4 linked regions of the Caenorhabditis elegans genome follow. The protein of the gene in region 4 interacts with the protein of the main gene of each other region in a pairwise test. Each region holds a gene or a part of one and is shown on either strand. Other genes may lie near its edges.

The links.
Region 1: the proteins of pas-7 (region 4) and T07F8.4 interact in a two-hybrid assay, tested with the Caenorhabditis elegans proteins (2 studies listed by BioGRID).
Region 2: the proteins of pas-7 (region 4) and depd-5 interact in a two-hybrid assay, tested with the Caenorhabditis elegans proteins (2 studies listed by BioGRID).
Region 3: the proteins of pas-7 (region 4) and rpt-4 interact in a two-hybrid assay, tested with the Caenorhabditis elegans proteins (2 studies listed by BioGRID).

The regions. Positions count from the first base shown.
Region 1 is NC_003280.10:7,129,976-7,133,666, forward strand, and holds T07F8.4 (ELM2 domain-containing protein), read right to left. Parts: upstream 2,058-3,691; 5' UTR 2,042-2,057; coding exon 1,960-2,041; intron 1,909-1,959; coding exon 1,852-1,908; intron 1,810-1,851; coding exon 1,700-1,809; intron 1,651-1,699; coding exon 1,455-1,650; intron 1,408-1,454; coding exon 1,055-1,407; intron 1,003-1,054; coding exon 941-1,002; intron 900-940; coding exon 722-899; 3' UTR 554-721; downstream 1-553. Other genes in the region: gld-3 (Defective in germ line development protein 3), read left to right, coding at 2,668-2,792, 2,841-2,922, 2,964-3,074, 3,120-3,190, 3,233-3,398, 3,443-3,571, 3,616-3,691.
Region 2 is NC_003281.10:4,260,117-4,265,142, forward strand, and holds the start of depd-5 (DEP domain-containing protein), read right to left. Parts: upstream 3,029-5,026; 5' UTR 2,933-3,028; coding exon 2,759-2,932; intron 1,900-2,758; coding exon 1,564-1,899; intron 1,518-1,563; coding exon 1,410-1,517; intron 1,162-1,409; coding exon 766-1,161; intron 1-765. Other genes in the region: sftb-1 (Splicing factor 3B subunit 1 domain-containing protein), read right to left, coding at 3,966-4,079, 4,467-4,532, 4,582-5,010.
Region 3 is NC_003280.10:41,668-48,073, reverse strand, and holds rpt-4 (putative 26S proteasome regulatory subunit 10B), read left to right. Parts: upstream 1-1,941; coding exon 1,942-1,962; intron 1,963-2,695; coding exon of another isoform or gene 2,696-2,845; intron 2,846-2,894; coding exon of another isoform or gene 2,895-3,029; exon of another isoform or gene 3,030-3,034; intron 3,035-3,156; exon of another isoform or gene 3,157-3,224; coding exon of another isoform or gene 3,225-3,295; intron 3,296-3,349; coding exon of another isoform or gene 3,350-3,593; intron 3,594-3,638; coding exon of another isoform or gene 3,639-3,899; intron 3,900-3,950; coding exon of another isoform or gene 3,951-4,040; intron 4,041-4,096; coding exon of another isoform or gene 4,097-4,129; exon of another isoform or gene 4,130-4,167; intron 4,168-4,411; coding exon 4,412-4,764; intron 4,765-4,813; coding exon 4,814-5,541; intron 5,542-5,592; coding exon 5,593-5,711; 3' UTR 5,712-5,867; downstream 5,868-6,406. Other genes in the region: C23H3.5 (Nucleolus and neural progenitor protein-like N-terminal domain-containing protein), read right to left, coding at 1-87, 433-490; rpoa-49 (RNA polymerase I associated factor, A49-like protein), read right to left, coding at 703-840, 1,085-1,960, 2,696-2,845, 2,895-3,029; Nuclear transcription factor Y subunit nfyc-1, read right to left, coding at 3,225-3,295, 3,350-3,593, 3,639-3,899, 3,951-4,040, 4,097-4,129; F23F1.10 (Reverse transcriptase domain-containing protein), read left to right, coding at 6,096-6,230, 6,392-6,406. UniProt on the Caenorhabditis elegans protein: The 26S proteasome is involved in the ATP-dependent degradation of ubiquitinated proteins. The regulatory (or ATPase) complex confers ATP dependency and substrate specificity to the 26S complex.
Region 4 is NC_003280.10:10,098,232-10,101,473, reverse strand, and holds pas-7 (Proteasome subunit alpha type-3), read left to right. Parts: upstream 1-1,619; 5' UTR 1,620-1,620; coding exon 1,621-1,690; intron 1,691-1,739; coding exon 1,740-1,852; intron 1,853-1,897; coding exon 1,898-2,467; 3' UTR 2,468-2,692; downstream 2,693-3,242. Other genes in the region: puf-12 (Pumilio domain-containing protein 12), read right to left, coding at 1-68, 121-625, 673-975, 1,026-1,145; lact-2 (Beta-lactamase domain-containing protein 2), read right to left, coding at 2,785-3,009, 3,058-3,242.

The sequences.
Region 1 (3,691 bases), 3.0 Mb from region 4:
TGGAACATAGTGCCGATGTACCCTATGAACAAACCGGTGGATGTAGCCTAAGAATGATTGTGATGATGTCGAATGTACCCTAAGAACAAATGTACCCCCAATTCGGTGTACCCTTGGATCATGGGCCAACTGCGGTTGGTTGGAGCACGCGCATTGGATTTTATGCGGTAAGACAAAAGTGCGAACGTAGCTATAATTTACTCTCTCTCTCTCTCTCTGAAAACGGGGTCGATAAGTGCAAAATCTACGGGATTTAACACCAAAATTTCAGATGCAAATTTTCAGATACTGAGACCGAGATGGCAGAATTAAATGTTGGTTTTCAGTAGACAGTAACATTATCTTCCGATTGGTATGCTTTTTGCTCCATATTTCCACCATATTTTTACGGGGCTCCCAGTTTTTCACTTACATGTGGTGAAGGATCACAGACCAGAAGAAGACGTGTTGTACGTGCTAGAAATGATGACTGGGAGGAAATCGAGTGTGATGATACGGAGACCGAAGTCCGACAGTGTACGGGTCGTCATCAATGTTGATAAACTCTAATTTTAACAATGAAATTTTATGAAAGTGAATATTTGATTCAGATTAATTTGACAACGAAGGAATTTGATTGTTGTGATTACGTAAATGGGTATCAGGGGCGAGATTATTTGTTAAACAGAGATCGAAAATAATAAATGCTTAGGTGAAAAAGTAAAAAAATAGTTCCCTAGTTTTAGTTCGTAAGAGTTGATGGCTCCTCTGAAGTAGATGGCTCGGAGAAGGAGGCTTCAACAAATCCAGTTTGACCATTTTGATCTTCCAGTTGAGCTACTTGCTGATGCCATGCAGCAGATAAATGAGGCTGAACTACTGGCGCATGCTGTGGATGAGCGTCCCGCCAAACTCGATAGCTGAAATAAATTATTAAAATTTGAAATCGTCGTTCTCTCACCCAGGGGTTAATTTCCATTGATAGTAGTATTCGATAAGTTCTCCAACTTTCCGGTAGGGTAGCTAAAATAAAACATTATGAAAACTTTTTGAATTTGCAAAATATACAACTAACCCGTAGTCTCCTTATCAGCGAAAAATCTTTTCCATACAGCTCGAGTGACTCTTCAAATGCCTTTGCTTCACTCTCATCGAATCCCAATGCATCTGAGCGAACAGTGCGGAATGGGGCATTTATATGAGGAAAAGGGAATGATTCTTTCGCCTTTTCTGTGTCAAAGTTGCTTCTATACAAAGCACATAGAGCGTCCTCGTCGTCTCGTGATTCGGTGCCAGCTGGTGGACATGGTTGGTCGTGGGCTTTTCGTAAGCCTACTACATCTTTGAGATAGTTGTCAATAACTTCATCACTTGGCTGATTCGTCTGATCAATTGTCCATAAAATAGTGTCATCTTCTCGAGCAGATTCTGAAGAAATAAATCGATATAGAATCAAAAATCAGATCATTGCTTACCTTCAACCGTTGCTTCATTAAAAAGCGGGACGTCGGCTTGGAAAAGTACTGGATCCACACGAATACTTCTTTTCCATGGGTCTGGCGGTGGTGCATAGTCGTCATCATCGTCGTCGAAGCCACTCATTGAATTACCCATATCGAAAATTGTTGAGTCGTGCGGTTCTGCAGCAGCCGAACTTGATTCCCCTACATTCTGAAAAATATAAACATTTTATAATTTCACTTTATCATTTGTAAATTACTTCTTCGGCGATTTCCGTATCTTCATTGTTTGCAGATGAATTTTCCGCTGGACGATAGCCATACTTACGTTGAAGTTCTTCAATTGACATTTCTCCCTCATCTTCCAAGTCTGAAAAGAAAAATGAGTCAGAAGCAAATTAAAGAAATTCACCTTTCAATTCATCTTCGTAGTCCCCTTCATCTAGAAGCTCCTCCTCTTCAATTGTCGCTGGAAAACCATACGTTGAAGAAATTTGAAAAAATATATATATAAGCATACCTTCATAGTCTTCGCCATTATCATTATCGTCTACATAATCTTCTTCATCAGTGATAGACGAACGAGAACCCTCTTCATCCATATTCAAAGCCTGGAAACTAACAAAAGTTGTATTAAAAACGGAAAAAGCGAAAATAAGTTAAAGCGGTTTGCGCGTCGACTAAGACGTAATTCTCTGTGTGCGGTGTTTGCGGACTTGTTTACAGTAGCTCGCAAAATAAAAAATGATGCAAAGCCAATGGGTGTTTCTAAAAAAGGGGAAGTTAATTTTGAAAAAGTAGAAAGCAACACAGATATAACAAAATAGTATAACAATTTATTAAAATGTAATTCAAATGTTCAGTCTGTTAAATGAAGCCGCCCCTAATATTAGGCAGCTAATCAAATTTAAAAAGTACAGTAACCAAGAAAGTTTTCAGAAAGGCGCATTACCGAAATCGAGCAGGTCTTACAACGTTCTTCAAGGAGATTGTTTGGCGCCCAATTCCTCGAACACACGTTCAGCGTGATTTTCAGTGTGTTTTCTCATTTGTTTTCGTGCAATTTCATCCTTATAATGCTAATATTATCTGTAATTAATCGTTCCACGATGATACTAATACCAGTAACATCGACGGAGGCACTGACGATCATTTATAAAATATTTGAAACTCAAAAAATTTACTGAGCAAACGCTTTAGTGTTAGAAACAAGATTTCAATTTTGCAGATGGGGGAGCAAAGCCATGAAAAAGATCATGATGAAGCGCACTCCTACAATCCATTCGTTCGCTCTGCCGTTGAATACGATGCTGACACACGCCTCCAAATGGCAGAAAATGCGGCATCTGCAAGGTATTAAATATGGTTTACGCTTACAACATTCTAATACTCCGATTTTAGAAAACTATTTGTATCGTCTGCCCTCAAAGATATTATCGTGAATCCTGAAAACTTCTATCATGATTTCCAGCAATCTGCACAGGTAAAGGCAACAACTTGTTATGTTACAGTCAAACAATTCAGATGGCGGAGGATGCTAATCAGAGACGACAGGTGTCATACAACACGAAACGAGAGGCTCATATTCATCAGCTAAAAGCGCAAGGATTGCCTCTGCCGTCAAATATACCAATGGTTTGACTGCTTCACATTCCACTGATTAACTGATTCAACATTTAGATCGAGATTAACCCAACTAGAGTAACCCTCAATATGGAGTTTGAATCCCAATACTATTCACTAATGACCAGGTTAGTTCACCAGTTAAGCGAAAGAAATTGTATTCATTTCAGTGACAACGGGGATCACGAGAATGTCGCGTCAATCATGGCAGAAACTAACACCCTCATTCAACTTCCCGATCGTTCTGTCGGAGGAACTACACCTGATCCATTTGCACAGCAAGTAACCATCACTGGATACTTTGGTGACGTGGATAGAGCACGAATGTTGATGAGAGTACGTTCAACTCTGATTATATGAATAATGTTCGTATTTTACAGAGAAACTGTCATTTTACAGTTTTTATGGCACTGTCAAAAATGAAGATGCCACTTCACGAACTTCAGGCACATGTCAGACAGAACCCCATTCAAAATGTGGAAATGTCTTTCGTCGATGCTCCAGAAAAGGCAAGCCGATTTAGCTAGTAACCAACAGTATTAATTTTCTTCAGAATGGAATCGTCACAACCTATCTTCGTATCACCGCCCGCGAAAAGAATCAGCATGAACTGATCGAAGCTGCAAAAC
Region 2 (5,026 bases), on a different chromosome or scaffold from region 4:
GAGTCCGATTGATGATCTTCCCCATATATAAAACCCGATCTTCTATAGCTGAAGGATCAGAAATGATCTATGGAAGAATAGGTTCCACCTATGGAGTCTATTTTTGATCTCAGATTCTTCAGACTTTATTTTATTGATTTTTAAACAACTGAAAATCTTGCAAAATCAATATTTGGCTTCTGATCTTATAGTTAAGGAAGATAGGAAGATCCCTAGCTGGAAGATCAGATTCTTCAGACTCCATAAGTGGAATCTGATCTTCCAGCTAATGCCGAAGAATTGGTAGATCACATTCAACCTATGGAGTCCGATTTTTGATCATCCGCATGTTAAATCTGATCTTCTATAGCTGAAGGATCCGAAAATACACCTTTGGAGCTCGATACATTTCAAACTCCATGATCTTCGAATTTTTCCGATTTTTGAAAAATATCTAAACATTTTGGCCATTTTCTTTTTTTTTAGAAAAAAATCATCAACAAGTACACAATTTTATTTAAAAGCGTTTTATTTCCCAGTTTTAAAATGGAAAAATCGATTTTTGGTAGTTTATGTTGCATTTTTCCTTTGATTTTCAGGAAATTAAAGTCGAAAAATGCAAAAACTTGTATTAAATTTTGAGCAATGTTGCGTGAAAATTTTGAAAAGGTGCGAAAAAAACCGTAATATGCAACAAAACTGATAAAAATAATTTCCAGCCAAAAATTCTAATTTTCAGACTTTTTGAGCAGTTTTTGAAGAAAAAACTTATATTTTAATACTCACCGCATACCACCGTGAGCACAGAATAATTGATACATAATGTGTACATGATTGTTCTTTCCATTTCAAGAATAATTCCGTTAAAAATCCTTTAATACATTTTTCCAAATACAAATCTCCTTGCGGATCGAGTTGATTCATTTCAGAGCACATTTGAATAAATATGAGTACTGTACTTGAACTTGAACGGAATACAACACGTGTCTTATCTGTAACATATCCACTTCTGACTAATGATCCTTTTCTCCACATATCCGAAATACGAGTATTTATATTCATATATCGTTTCGGTTCTTCTACATATGTCATTCGTCCGATCAGGCAACTACGGTAACGATACATATCGGCTCGGCTCATATATTGCTCTCGGAATGTTAATTGCACATTGTCAAGGGATACCTGAAACATTAATTTTTGTTGCGAAATTTTGCTCCAAAAATGCGGTACCCGGTCTCGACGCGATTTTTTTCTTAAATAAAAAAGTGTGTGCCTTTAAAGAGTACTGTAGTTTCAAACTATCGTTGATGTAGAATTTTCATTGATTTTTTAGTTTTAAAAAAAATCTATTCATTTTTCAAAAAAAAAATTGAAATTTATCAGGAAAAAACTATAAAATCGCAAAAATTAATTTTTCAAAAAACTCATACCGTATCAACTGTCTCCAAAGTGCACTTCACAATATCATTTTGTTTCAGAAAATCTATCCGATTCGTGATAAGCCCTGGGGCTCCTTTTGCTAGGGACAATGTACAGGTCTGAAAAAATGAAATTATTTTCAAACTATATTCATAACATTATTACCACATCTTCAGGTTTTCCAATCATAACCGACGATTTCTTCTTCTCAACAACATCTTCATCTTTATCCAACTCGGCGAGCACTGCCTGACGGGCGGCCTCATCATAAACTCTCGAATTTCGATTACTCGACGGTCCGCTCCGATGAATACTTGCAGCACTATTCGTCTTTTTTGCTTCGGAGAGAATTGTTGTTTCAATTCGAAATGATAATTCATGATCACCAGTTTCATCTGTTTTTGATACTGTAATATAGCATGGTTTCATAAATGCAAGTGTTTTATCATGAACGAGTACTGCCATATGTTCATCTTCCTTCAGGCATGATGGTTTTTTGCTCTGAAAAATATGAATTATTTTTGGAAAATCAAAAGAATTCGATTTTTTTGAATAATAGATTAAAACTGGCCATATTTTCGATAAAATTTCTACAATTTTATTTTCGATTATCTCCGGTTTTTTTGCTCTGAAAAATACTTTATTATTGTCAATAACCAGAAAACCAATTTTGCGACAACTAACAGCCGGCAACTGATCAAAATTATTGGAAAAACTAAAATAAAATAAATCAAAATTACAAAAAGACTGAATTTCAAAATGAAGCATCATAAAAATGCCTAAAAATGAAAAAAGAATGCTAAAGGGAGGAGTAGAGATTTTTCCGAAACAATTTTTTAAAAAACCGGCTGAATTAAACTTGATTTCCCAAGCAAATGAATTGCCTAATTTCGAAATTTCTGCATTTTCTGGACATACAATTGTGCGGAAATTCAAATATAATTTCAGCTGTTTTTTTTTTGGAAAATTCATGAAAATCATCTAAAAATTGGACATTGCTTAAAATCTTCGAATTTTACCAACATTTCCATGTCGCAAATTAATTTTTATTTAATAACTTTTTTATTTTGCGTATTTTCAGTGAAAATTGTCCAGATTATCGTTCCAATCATCAGAAAATGCAAAAGAGAGAAAAAAACGTGCAAAAGTAAATAATTAAATAAAAATTAATTCATCAACACGGAAGTTGAGAAATTACACGGAAGTTGAGAAATTGGAGAATTTAGTTCATCGAAGTTTATTTTCGAATTTTTAATCCATCAAAACCGGTCTATTGAGGTAATTTGAGTATTTTAACTTTACTTTAATTTTAATTTTTCAGTATTTTAATGAATAATTCTGTGCCCTATCCATTACGAACCGGATCACAATGCGGACATTTGTCGATCGTGTGATACACGACTTTAGCATTCCATGTCATCTTCTGTGCCTCGTGAAGTCCAAGTTGTAGCTCATTTTCAGGCGGTGGTTCAGTGGTTGCTCTCCGTTGACTTGAGTTATTGCTGCTGCTGGGTCCAGCTATTTCGAACGCCATCCCCGTGGATCCACACCGCCTTCACGGACCAAAGCAGCACCTGCGCTTTTGAACGAAGATTTTCGAAATTCTTTTGCTCACTTGGAAGGGATGACTGAAAAAAATCGATTTTTTGAGAAAAACTAATTTTCAGAGAATTTAATTATTACAAAGACGCGAACATTTGTACAAAAAATACGGTAACCGGTCTCGACGCGACAATTTTAGTTCAATGCAAAAATGTGTTTAACAAAAATATCGTAGCTGCATAATTTTCATAGATTTTGTTCAAATTTTAAGTATTTTAATATTTGTATGAGTAAATATATTTTTGAGATAAAATCGATGAAAATTCTGTGCAAACAAAAGTTTTTCGATTAGAAAAATAAAAATTGAAAGAAGATTATGAAAAATCGATGAAAATTCCGTAACAAAGAGATTCTTAAACTACAGTAATCCTTAAAGGCGCACACCATTTTTGCATTTAATACACATTTGTCGTTTCGAGACCAGCCACTGTACTGTTGCTGCAAAAAGCGCAAAATTTTCGTTTTTAAGGAACTAATATTGAAAGAATTTGTAAAATTTCTTTTTTAAAGATAATTTTGCCAAAAATAAAATTAGAAAATTATTTTTATATTTGGAGAGTATTAGGAAACTCTGATATTTTTTAAGGTATTTAAAAAATTTTTAAACGAGAAAAAATAAGCGAAATTTGACTTCAACAAAAAAAAAGGGATTTCTTTAAAACATTAAAATAATTTGACAAGTCTTCATTTTAAATATCTATCGCAAGAGTTGTTGTTGTTTTTTTTTTTGGGAATAAATTGATTGATATTGGAGAAAAGTAATAGAAAAACAAAAAAAAACCACTGACAACCAAAACAATTTTGTTAGATTAATCTAGATTCAAGAGAATATTTGGAGGGAAATGGGATTAAAATATAAAAGGTTTCGTTTTCTATGAAAATGTGATGAAAGGAGGGAGGGAACACGGAGATAGAAAAATAAGTTATCGAGATCCAAATAAAAAAAACAAAAATTAGAAAATTATTTAAAGATTATAATCAAGTTCGTAGCGGACATATTGATTTGTTGGGGTGTTCTCGATACGTGGATAGGCGGCAATAAGAGCATCTGCGGAGCCAAGAATTAGGTTGTTGAAGACCTGGAAATATTAATATGAAATTACATAAAAATTTAGCGCTTGTGGAAAAAACGTCTCAATATTCCGAATACAAATTTTAAAAAATTTATAGAAATTTTCTAATCTTTTTTTAAATTTTGCGGAAAATTTGAGAAGTACCAAAACATTTTTGAATTCCCGCGCAACCTGTATTTAATTTTTTCCTTTTTCAATTTTTCCGGTCGCTCACTTTTGGTCGAAAAAAAAGAAGATATTTCACAATAAAAATAAATTTTCTCTGAAAAATAAAAATTCAATTGAAAAAAATCATTAAAAAATTAGAAACATTCTATAAATATTTTAAAAGCTATATTCCGAATATTTCCACTATTTCTGTAATTGAAAATTCAAGGAAACTAAAATAATTACCTTCCACACTGGTTCTCGAACTTTTCTCGCTGGATGCCAAAGAGCTTGCAGGCAATATTGAAGAACCTGAAATGAATTTTAATTTTTGAAATTATTAAGAATTTAAAATAAAAACCTTAATAGGTCCCAACGAAACTCGCATTCCTTCACATGCAAACACCCATCGTTGAATAAGATGCGGTGAGTTTTCCAACATATTGGGCCACACATAATTCAATAAATGAATAAGTGCATCTTCACAACCAAATCCATAAACTCCAATAGCAAGATGAGCAACTGCGTCGACTGCAATCTGACGATGAACTTGATCTCTTTCCATTAATGCATCAATGAGCAGCGGAACAACTGCATAAATGTAGTCTTTTGCCATTTCTCCAATGTATTCGAACATGAATGAAAGAGCTTTTAAAACTCCGTTTTGTACATTAATTTCAGGTACACGATACTCGTTCATAATTGCTGGAAGTACTGTAAATGGGGCACAAGTTTCCGAAACAATGGCAATGGCGACTGTTGTACACACACGGAGCTGGCGTTCTTGGACCTGAAAAATAATTTAT
Region 3 (6,406 bases), about 10 Mb from region 4:
GCATTGTTCGAGCGGTCGTTGTATCCTTTGTGGGCTCACGTTCAAAAAAACTACCAGGTACATCATTTGAAAATTCATCCAGCATTTCTGAAATCAAGATGTTTGAAATATCCTGGTAATTAGAGGAAATTACGGTTAAAGGTCGAAAATTAAATACCTAATTGAAAATATAGTTTTTTTTTAAATTTGATATTCTCTCTTGAAAAACACCGAGAAAAAACGAAAAAATAGGCAAAATCAAATAATTTTTAATTTTTCTTCGGAACCCGTGCCAAACAATAAGACTTTCTTGTGATTTTTTAAAATTTCGAAATTCGATTTTTATTTGTTTAATTCAATATTTTTCTCAAAAAAGTAAAAATCTTGATTCTAGAAATTATATTTTAGATCTACATTTAGAAATTTCAATTATTTTTATTAAACTATGCATACCAATGAATACATCATCATTTTCTGCTCCTTCCTGTCCTGGGTCTTCGTTAGAAAACATATGCCTGTAACAAAGGTAATCAAATTAAATTTGAAATACAAATTATTAGAAATCTGATTGGTGTTTGAATCCGAATCCCTCCAAAAATCAAGATAGAAAAAAATAAAGATTATAACGGAAATTCATAACAAAACAAGTTTAACGATTTTAGAAAACAAAACAAAACAAATTTGAGGAAAACGAAAAGATTTAAGAAAAAATAAGTAAAATATTTATCGCCGAATGATCTTTCTGGGCCCTTTCTGTTCCAGACTCGGAGGTTTCAAGAGAATCGCGGCACGGAGGGAACGAAGAGTTTGAGCAGACGCCACATCGAGACGAATCAGGTCTGCACCTAGTGCTTGGAACATCTGAAAATGGGGCATTTTGGTGAATAAAACTCTTGTTGGAGTTCTTTGAAAATGTGCTTAATTTTAGAGAATGTTTAGAGAAAAAAATAAAATAAATAATTTCAAAATTATGCGTACGCGAATCTTGTAAAAGTAAAAGTACGCGAATCTTTCTATCACGTTTCATGCACAAAATTGGGTTCATTTTTTCTGGATTTTAGACTATTTTAAACAATTCAAAGCAAAATTTTCAAGTGGGATTTACCTTCTCAAGTTTACTAGGCTGATAACTAAGAGCTTGTTGAAATGGAGTAATCGGTACTTTGTGCTCGGGTGCCAATGTCAATGCCAATGCAAGTGTGTGCGCGATAAAACGATCATAGTCGGTAACATTGAGACGGATTCGTTCGGCTCCACGTCCAGTGTACCCCTTCTCATTAGTACTATCATTGAAAAACTGGGCCTGAACTTTCTGTCGGAGAATATCGGGCATCTTTAGCTCACTCAAATCTTTTCTCAGCAACTGTCTTTGCTTTCCCATTTTTGTGAGGATCTCGATCATGGTGGAGAGTAAAAGATAGGCGGCTGCACGTTGTTTGGTCTTTTCATTGTACATAATAAGAGTAACACACTCTGGAATTCCAGCTTCAAGTTTCTCTTTTTTCTTCTTTTCCATCAGTTCAGTGGCGATCGATTCAATTGCGTCAATCTCAATGTCTTCAAGGAACAAGGAAATTGGATAGATATCTCGTGAAAGTTCCGTTTGAACAGCAGGTGGAAGAATTGATGATTCGGCTTTATTCATCATTGTGATATTCTCCAACTTCACGTCAGCAGCACCATCCTCAGTTTTAACGTTCGAATTCGAAGCGAACGCGGTCTTTCTCATTTCGTCCAATGTTTCTTGATTAATAGTTCTTCGTTGAGCTGCTTCATCCATTTTAATTTTCTTCGAAGAACCAAAATTCGATGTCAATTGACGACGTTTCTCAGCCCATTTCTCTGCTCCAATTGAAAAATCGTTTTTGTATTCTTCAGACGACGATTCCTTCTTGTCACTGAAAATCTTCTCAATGTCTTCTGAGAACTTGCTTTCGAATGAATAGAATCGTGCAGGACGATATGTTGCTTCTCCAGTTCTCTGTAAGTTTTTTTAAAAAATATTCTTATTCAAATACATAATTCGATATTCCTTCAAGAGTACACAAAGGTGGAGTACAGAAATCTGAGAAATATTATTAAATGACTCCAAATTTTACCTTGAACCCGAAAATCTGTGTGAAAAAAATTCAAAGATTTTCTATATTCTATATTTTTTATATAAGCTTGAAATGGCGAATTTCATTTGTGCACCACCCATGAATAACTTTTTTCGCCTCAGAGACGCCATGTGTCGATTTACGAAATTTTTAATCTATATCGGATGCTGATTTCCGTTTTTCATTGATTAAAAAAAAATTTTTGGAGCGTTTGAAAAATCTCAAGGGTTCACAAATGAAATTCGGGGATTTCAAGCTGAAATCCAAAGTCAGTGAAATTTTTTTTTGATAGATTTTCGGAATCAGGGGAAAATTTGGAGTCATTAAAAAATATTGGTACTAGTCCTAAATCACCCCGCCACTTTTTTTATTTGTGTATTATTTCCCCTCATTTTAATATTATTCATTTTAATAAAACGTGATGTCCATTTTCCATCTTTAGGCTTAGAAATGGCTATTTCCTAAGCCTAAAAATACAAAAACTCCACACGTTTTTATTTGAAAAAAAAGAAAAAAAGTGGCGGGGTGATTTAGAACTAGTACCAAAATATTTTTCAGGTTTCGGTACTCAGCCTTTGAAAGAGTGAATTTGTTAGCTAAAATACACTCAAAATTACCTTATCAACCAAAGCAACAGCAAAATCGAATCCCTCATCAAGACAATTAACATCTGCCCCAACTTCTACAACATGCTCGCTAATATCTCCTTTTACGCTGAATATTGGCGCTTTTTTACGTCCTCCTTTTCCGTGTCTTTCGAATGTCAGCTAAAATGGATTTTTATTTTCATTTGAAAGAAGGTGCTTTAGAACAAACGTTTTTCAAATCTTTTGGCCGATTGTGCACGAATGAGGCAACGATATCAGAATCTGCAAATTCTTTGTTGGATTCCACATTTCTCACGTGGCAAGCCGTCTTCTTCGCACTCAGCTCCTCACTTGACAACCACATTTCGCCTCAAATTTAAAGATTTCAAAGTAAAAGCCTGTAAAATGAAAAACAAAGAAATAAGAAAATATATGAATGTGCATATGAAACACAGTATTTTTAGACAAAAAAGGTATAAATTCAAGCTTTTAAAGGGCGCCAGGCGCCACGAACTTAATTTTAATACATAATATAAGCAAGAAAATATTATTATAAAGATCAATTGTGGTGAGATCGGTTGACTGAAGAATTTGAAGTTCTCTGGTGAAAGTCGGAATGCATGTTGGGATCTATAAAAGGTTAAAAATTGCACAAAAATCATATTTAGGAAAAAAACCGAAAACCTTGGAAACTGTCTTCACTCATATGGCCTGGGCCGTTTGTGGAAGTTGTTGGCACCGTTTTCGGAGGTAGAAAGTCGATGAGAAAATCGAACTGATCACTTTTTTGCACTGCGCTTGCTATGTCGGCTTTTTGAAGAATTCGTCGCCTTGCTTCTGACACGTATTGCCAGCCCATTGCGGTCATTTCTTCAATGAAAAACTCGGCTGCTTGAGCCATAAATATCGGAGCATCAGACGCGATCATCTGTAAAAAGTGTATGAAGATCGGCTGGAAAATGACACTACTCACAAAGTTGCGAACATCGTCGTCTATTCGCATAATCTTTTTCACTCTAGCCATGGGAACGCTCATGTTTTTCGACTTGTTCAGCATATCCTCTTCAGAAATCTCAGTCATTTTCTGTTTTTTTTCACGCCAGAAATCTTCTGTCATTTGTCTCATCGAGGCGTACTTTGCCGGTGGTATCGCATCATTGTGATGGATTAAATTATTATAAGGATGAACCGCACCTTCTACAATAGAAGGCATATTTATTGGATGCATGTTCGGCTAAAATGAAATAAAATAAATAAGTTTTTAAAACGAGTTGATTTTATTCACCGTGTAGGGATGTTCCATGAACACTTCTGATTGATTTGTCCCATCATTTTGTATGTATTCGGCAGTTTCGTTGTTTTCGGCGTGTAAAAGCTGAAATAAATGAAACATTTGCTGGGAAGTCGAAAATTTTAAATTGTATTACTTACATTATTGTCTAAAACTTCTGGGAATTGCGACATCACGGCAGATGCAAGAAAAATTAACTTTAAACTAATTAGAAAAAAATAAATTAAAACAACACTATTCTTCTGTCGTGAAATATTGTGCATTGTGTGCACGTACACCGAGGCGGAAGATTGCGGACTCGATCAACTGCGCTCTGTTGGACACGATGACAATTTCAATTCTGATTTTCATTTCTGACGTTCTTTCCTCATGAGAACCTCGTTTTTTCAGATTTTTACATCTTATACAGATTAAAAAATGTTTTCATTCAAAACTAGATATTTTCTGAATTCCAGAACATGGTTGAACCAACTGGTCCCGCCATCGTAGAGGATGAACGCACTAAGGCGCTCAACAGCTATAGAAGAAAATTGGCAGAGTGCCGTGACATTGAACAGAAGTTGAAGGACTTGCGAAAAAAAGAAAGCGAGATGACCAAACAATTTGACAAATCCGAGAACGATATCAAGTCGTTGCAATCTGTTGGACAAATTGTAGGAGAAGTGCTCAAGCAGCTCAGTGAAGAGAAATTCATCGTCAAGGCAACCAATGGTCCTCGTTATGTTGTCGGATGCCGTCGCAGTATTAACAAGGAAGAGTTGAAGCAAGGGACAAGAGTTTCGTTGGATATGACAACTCTTACTATCATGTAAGCTTTTAGTTTTTTAAACAAAAAGTCTTAAACCGAAATGTTTCAGGCGTCAGCTGCCACGTGAAGTTGATCCGCTAGTCTACAAAATGTCTCACGAAGATCCTGGTAACATTAGCTATTCAGATGTCGGAGGACTCGCTGAGCAGATTCGCGAGCTTCGTGAAGTTGTGGAGCTCCCACTCATCAATCCCGAACTCTTTAAACGTGTTGGTATCACTCCCCCGAAAGGATGTCTGCTTTTTGGTCCACCGGGAACAGGAAAAACTCTCCTTGCTCGTGCTGTAGCATCGCAACTGGATTGCAATTTCCTGAAAGTTGTCTCGTCTGCTATTGTTGATAAATATATCGGAGAGTCTGCAAGAATGATTCGAGAAATGTTCAATTATGCTCGTGACCATCAGCCATGCATTGTCTTCATGGATGAAATTGATGCGATCGGTGGAAGACGTTTCTCAGAAGGAACATCAGCAGATCGTGAAATTCAGAGAACTCTTATGGAACTTCTCAATCAGCTCGATGGATTCGATTCGCTTGGAAAAGTCAAGGTTATTATGGCCACGAATCGTCCTGATACATTGGATCCTGCTCTTCTTCGTCCTGGAAGACTTGATAGAAAGATTGAAATCGGACTGCCAAACGAACAATCTCGCTTGGAAATTCTCAAGATTCACTCGAACAAGATCACCAAACACGGCGAAATAGATTTTGAAGCTGTTGTCAAGTTGTCCGACGGATTCTCGGCTGCTGATTTAAGAAATGTGTGCACAGAAGCTGGTGAGGAGTTGAATCATAAAAATTGCATTCAAATTATCATTTTTGTTTCAGGAATGTTTGCCATCCGTGCTGAGCGTGAATTCGTTATCGACGAGGACTTTATGAAAGCTGTTCGCAAGGTTGGAGACGCGAAGAGACTTGAGACGAAGCTCGACTATAAACCTGTCTAATTGATTTTTTCGTATTTATTGGACCTTTCCCGTTTGCATCTTTTAACCATTATCCCGTTTTCAATGTTTCCGTGTAAAAAAAGAAGATCCGAATCATAAATTATTTTTGGCTGGTTCTTGACATGGAGTAGATTTCTCGATAAATAATATTTGTAGACCCAAATAATGACGAGCCTCGTAAAAAAAATCGCGAAATATTATAGTAATTTTTCGATTCTCCAGACTTTCAAAAAAAAAATTCAATTTTATTTGGCACAAAGGCACTTTTCGTGTAAAGATTCTCAATTTATCCTGAATAAAACCCACAAAAGGTCGAAAATTGTTCGATTTTTTTCAAAGAAAATAGAAAATGAAGCTTTTCAATTAAATTTTCGTTTCAGAGCAATGGCGAGCACCAGTATAAAATCTGCAATCGCTCGTATCGGATCCATCAAGTATACAGAACTGGAGGACCTGAAATCAGTGAGCATATCCCAGGAGGAACAAGAAGCAGTTAGAGTTGAGCTGGAAAAAGAAAAGGTTTGAGCTGATATATTCTGGAATGAGATTTATACTCGGAAATGCCACTACCCCATTCAAACACAAAATGTCTGGCTCGTTAATAATATAATTAGATCGGCTATTTGCGTCATTCGAGAGTTTCAATTCACACAAAAACATTCCAGAAAATCTTTTTTTAGGATAATTGGCGCCCG
Region 4 (3,242 bases):
CTTGACGAAAAATTTGGAATAGACGTTCTTTGACATCCTCACTATTTCTGGGGTTAATTCGTTGAACACTGCAATAATTATGTTCTCGTAATTATTCATGGGAACCTTCAAAAAACTTACAGTTGTTAATGATTCCTTCTCTTTCAGTGGCAACAAGACATTCGATAACTCTGCTGGTGTCGTGAGCATAGATCAGCTTGGCAGCGTGTCCTTTTACAAGACCATACAACTCGTGAACCGCAGTATCCTTTTCAGCTTTTGGCGTCTTTCCCATTCTGATCTTTTCCCAAAGTTCCTTGCATTTTTGAGCACGAGCTCCTTCAGGTTTTCTCTTCAATTTCAACTCCTTCAAAAATGCTTTTCTTTCTTTTCTCGGCATATTCAGCAATTGTTCTTTAACAGACTTTGTGACTTGAATAGCTACTCTCTTTCTCTTTAGAGTTGGAATGTCAATATGAGATTCATCTCCACCTGCTTGTTCGTCGACAGATTCCAAATTTTCATCGTCTGCTGGCTCAGAAGCAACGGCTTTCTCTGCATTAACCTTCACTTTTTTCTTTGGGGGAGCGGAATGCTCTTCTTCTTCTTCCTGAGCAACTTTGACAGTCTTCACTTTGGCAAGTTTCTGAAAAAAAACAATTGTGTAAAAGACGATATATTGAATTAACAAACCTTAACCTTCTTATCAAGAGGGGATCTGAGAATTCCTCTTCCTGGAGATGCCTCTGATGGTTTGATTTGAAGATCCTGAACTCGCTTATCGAAAACCTTAACATGTTCAAGTTCTCCTGAGAAAAGCACTTTTTTCGATTTCTTTTTCGGTGCTGGCTGGCTTCCGAACGAAGACTCCGAGCACAAAGAGTCACGAGTCCCATCATTATCAAAAACTGATGTTGAAGATGACTTTTTCAACCTTTCCAACTCGTCCTTCACAGCTTTGTCTACTTTGCTTTTTAACGCTGCTTTTTCTTCAATCTGAAATATTTCACAAAAAATTATTTACAAAATGAAGTAATTTAACAAACCTTAACAATTCGCTTTCTGTCTACTTTGTTGAGTTTTAATCCTTTTGCCTTTTTCTCCAACACATTTTTAACCTTCTTCTTCCCTTTGAATTTTTTATTTTTGTCGTCGAGTTTCACCATTTTTACCCGCGAGATTTCTCTGAAAGACACGCATATTAAAAGGAGTAATAAACACAAGACAATTTTATGTGAGGTTTAAGCGATTTTTACTTTGGAAACAAATTGCACAGCTTCAAAATAGTAACAAAAAGTTACGAAAAAGTAAAGAAAAATGAAAAGAAAATGTTAAAGGCGCATGTTGTCTTCTGACGTCTCTCAATTTACACACTCTCTTCTTCGTCGTTGCGAGACCTGCCGCAATGTTCGTCTCTCCCGTAAATCGACATTGGAAAATCATCATTTGAAATTTTATTTCCATTTAGCTGCCATTTTCAGATTATCAGCTTTTATTTTCGCAATAATTCTACTATTTTTAACGCATTCAAATAAACGAATTATTAAATATTAAATTTTAACGGTTCTTCTGATTTCCGCAGAAATAAAACACGTACCAGTTGCAATCATATATGTGTTAACATAGTTTTTATTTTGCAGAATGAGTTCAATCGGTACCGGCTACGATCTCGCCGCCTCTACTTTTTCTCCTGATGGCAGAATTTTCCAAGGTTTGTTTCGATTTTGCTTTGTTCAAAATACTCATAATCTCGTTTTCAGTCGAGTACGCTCAAAAGGCTGTCGACAATGCAGGAACAATGATTGCAATTCGTGGCAAGAACGGAGTTGTGGTCGTTGCTGACAAGCTGATCTCTTCCAAACTTTACACTGATGTGAGTAATTTAAGAGATTTTCAAGATTTTATCTATAATTTTCAGAACGCTAATCCAAGAATGTTTAACGTGAACGACAATGTTGGTGTCGCAGTTGCTGGAAACTATCCAGATGGTTTCGCTCTGAAGAACTATGCTTACGGAGAAGCAATGAAGTGGCTCAAAGACTACCGTGAGCCAATGCCGATTCAGAATATTGCTAACTCAGTTGCTGAGTACATTCACATTCACACTCTCGGCATTAGTCGTCCGTTTGGAGCAGGAGCCTTCTTCATGTCATGGAACAAACAAACTGGAGGACGTCTTTTCCTTGTGGAGCCATCAGGTCTAAACTATGAATACAAGGCATGGGCTGTCGGAAAACATCGCCAAGCCGCAAAAGCTGAGATTGAGAAGCTGAAGATCGAGGAGCTGGATGTGAATCAACTCGTGAAGGAAGCTGCTCGAATCATTATGGTGGTGCGTGACGAGAACAAGGATAAAAACGTTCAAATCGAAATGGGATGGGTCGGTGAGCAGACGAACGGAAAGTACGAAGAAGTTCCAAGCGAGGTTGTCACTGCTGCCGAGGAATGGGCTATTGCCAAGCTTGACGAGGACGACATGGACGATTGAATCATTCTCGTGTATTTATTCACATTTTTAATTTATTATCAGCTCTCTTCTTTCTGCCCTGGTAAACTTCTTGCGCTCGGCGAGTCATTTTATTGTACTTCAAACCGACTCACCGACTTCAAGAAGAACTTTTTGCACCCGGATGTTTTTTTTTAACTTTTTCTGTTCATTATTTTTCGGTTTCCCGGTATTACCCATTTTTCTCAATACAAATTCAGACAAACCAGAAACATGTTTATGCACAATTCGCTGGGGGCAGTAGACCCGTCCCAAATTATGGCGCTATGTACAAACAAGGATAACAACAATTTTTTAAGTTATGCGGCAACTGCTTGAACTGCTTCCTCGATCATCACACTTTGACCAGTCTTCTGTTTCTCCAAGCACTCAAATACAGAATCTCGAAGATGTCTGTATGTTCTCGTAAGCTCTCCCATTCCAGTTTTCAATCCATTCGAGACGTAGGCAATCGTGATCCCATCTTCCAAATCCATCATTACTGTGCTGCCACCGTAACCAGGATGTCCAACAAGCCACTTTTTCTGAAAAAATAATTGATTTATTATTATATTTATTAAAACGATGCTCACCCCTCCCATTGGATGTCTCTCGTATAGGAAACCATGTCCTTTTGGTAGAGGAGTCATGACAACTTCATCAATCCCCTGAACTTGGGGGGCACGGAACTTTTCTAGAAGTTCAGTAGAGAACAGTTTTCCTTGTTGTACGAGTGAGAAAAGTCTAGCTAAATCTCTTGACTTTGTAATACCAAGAG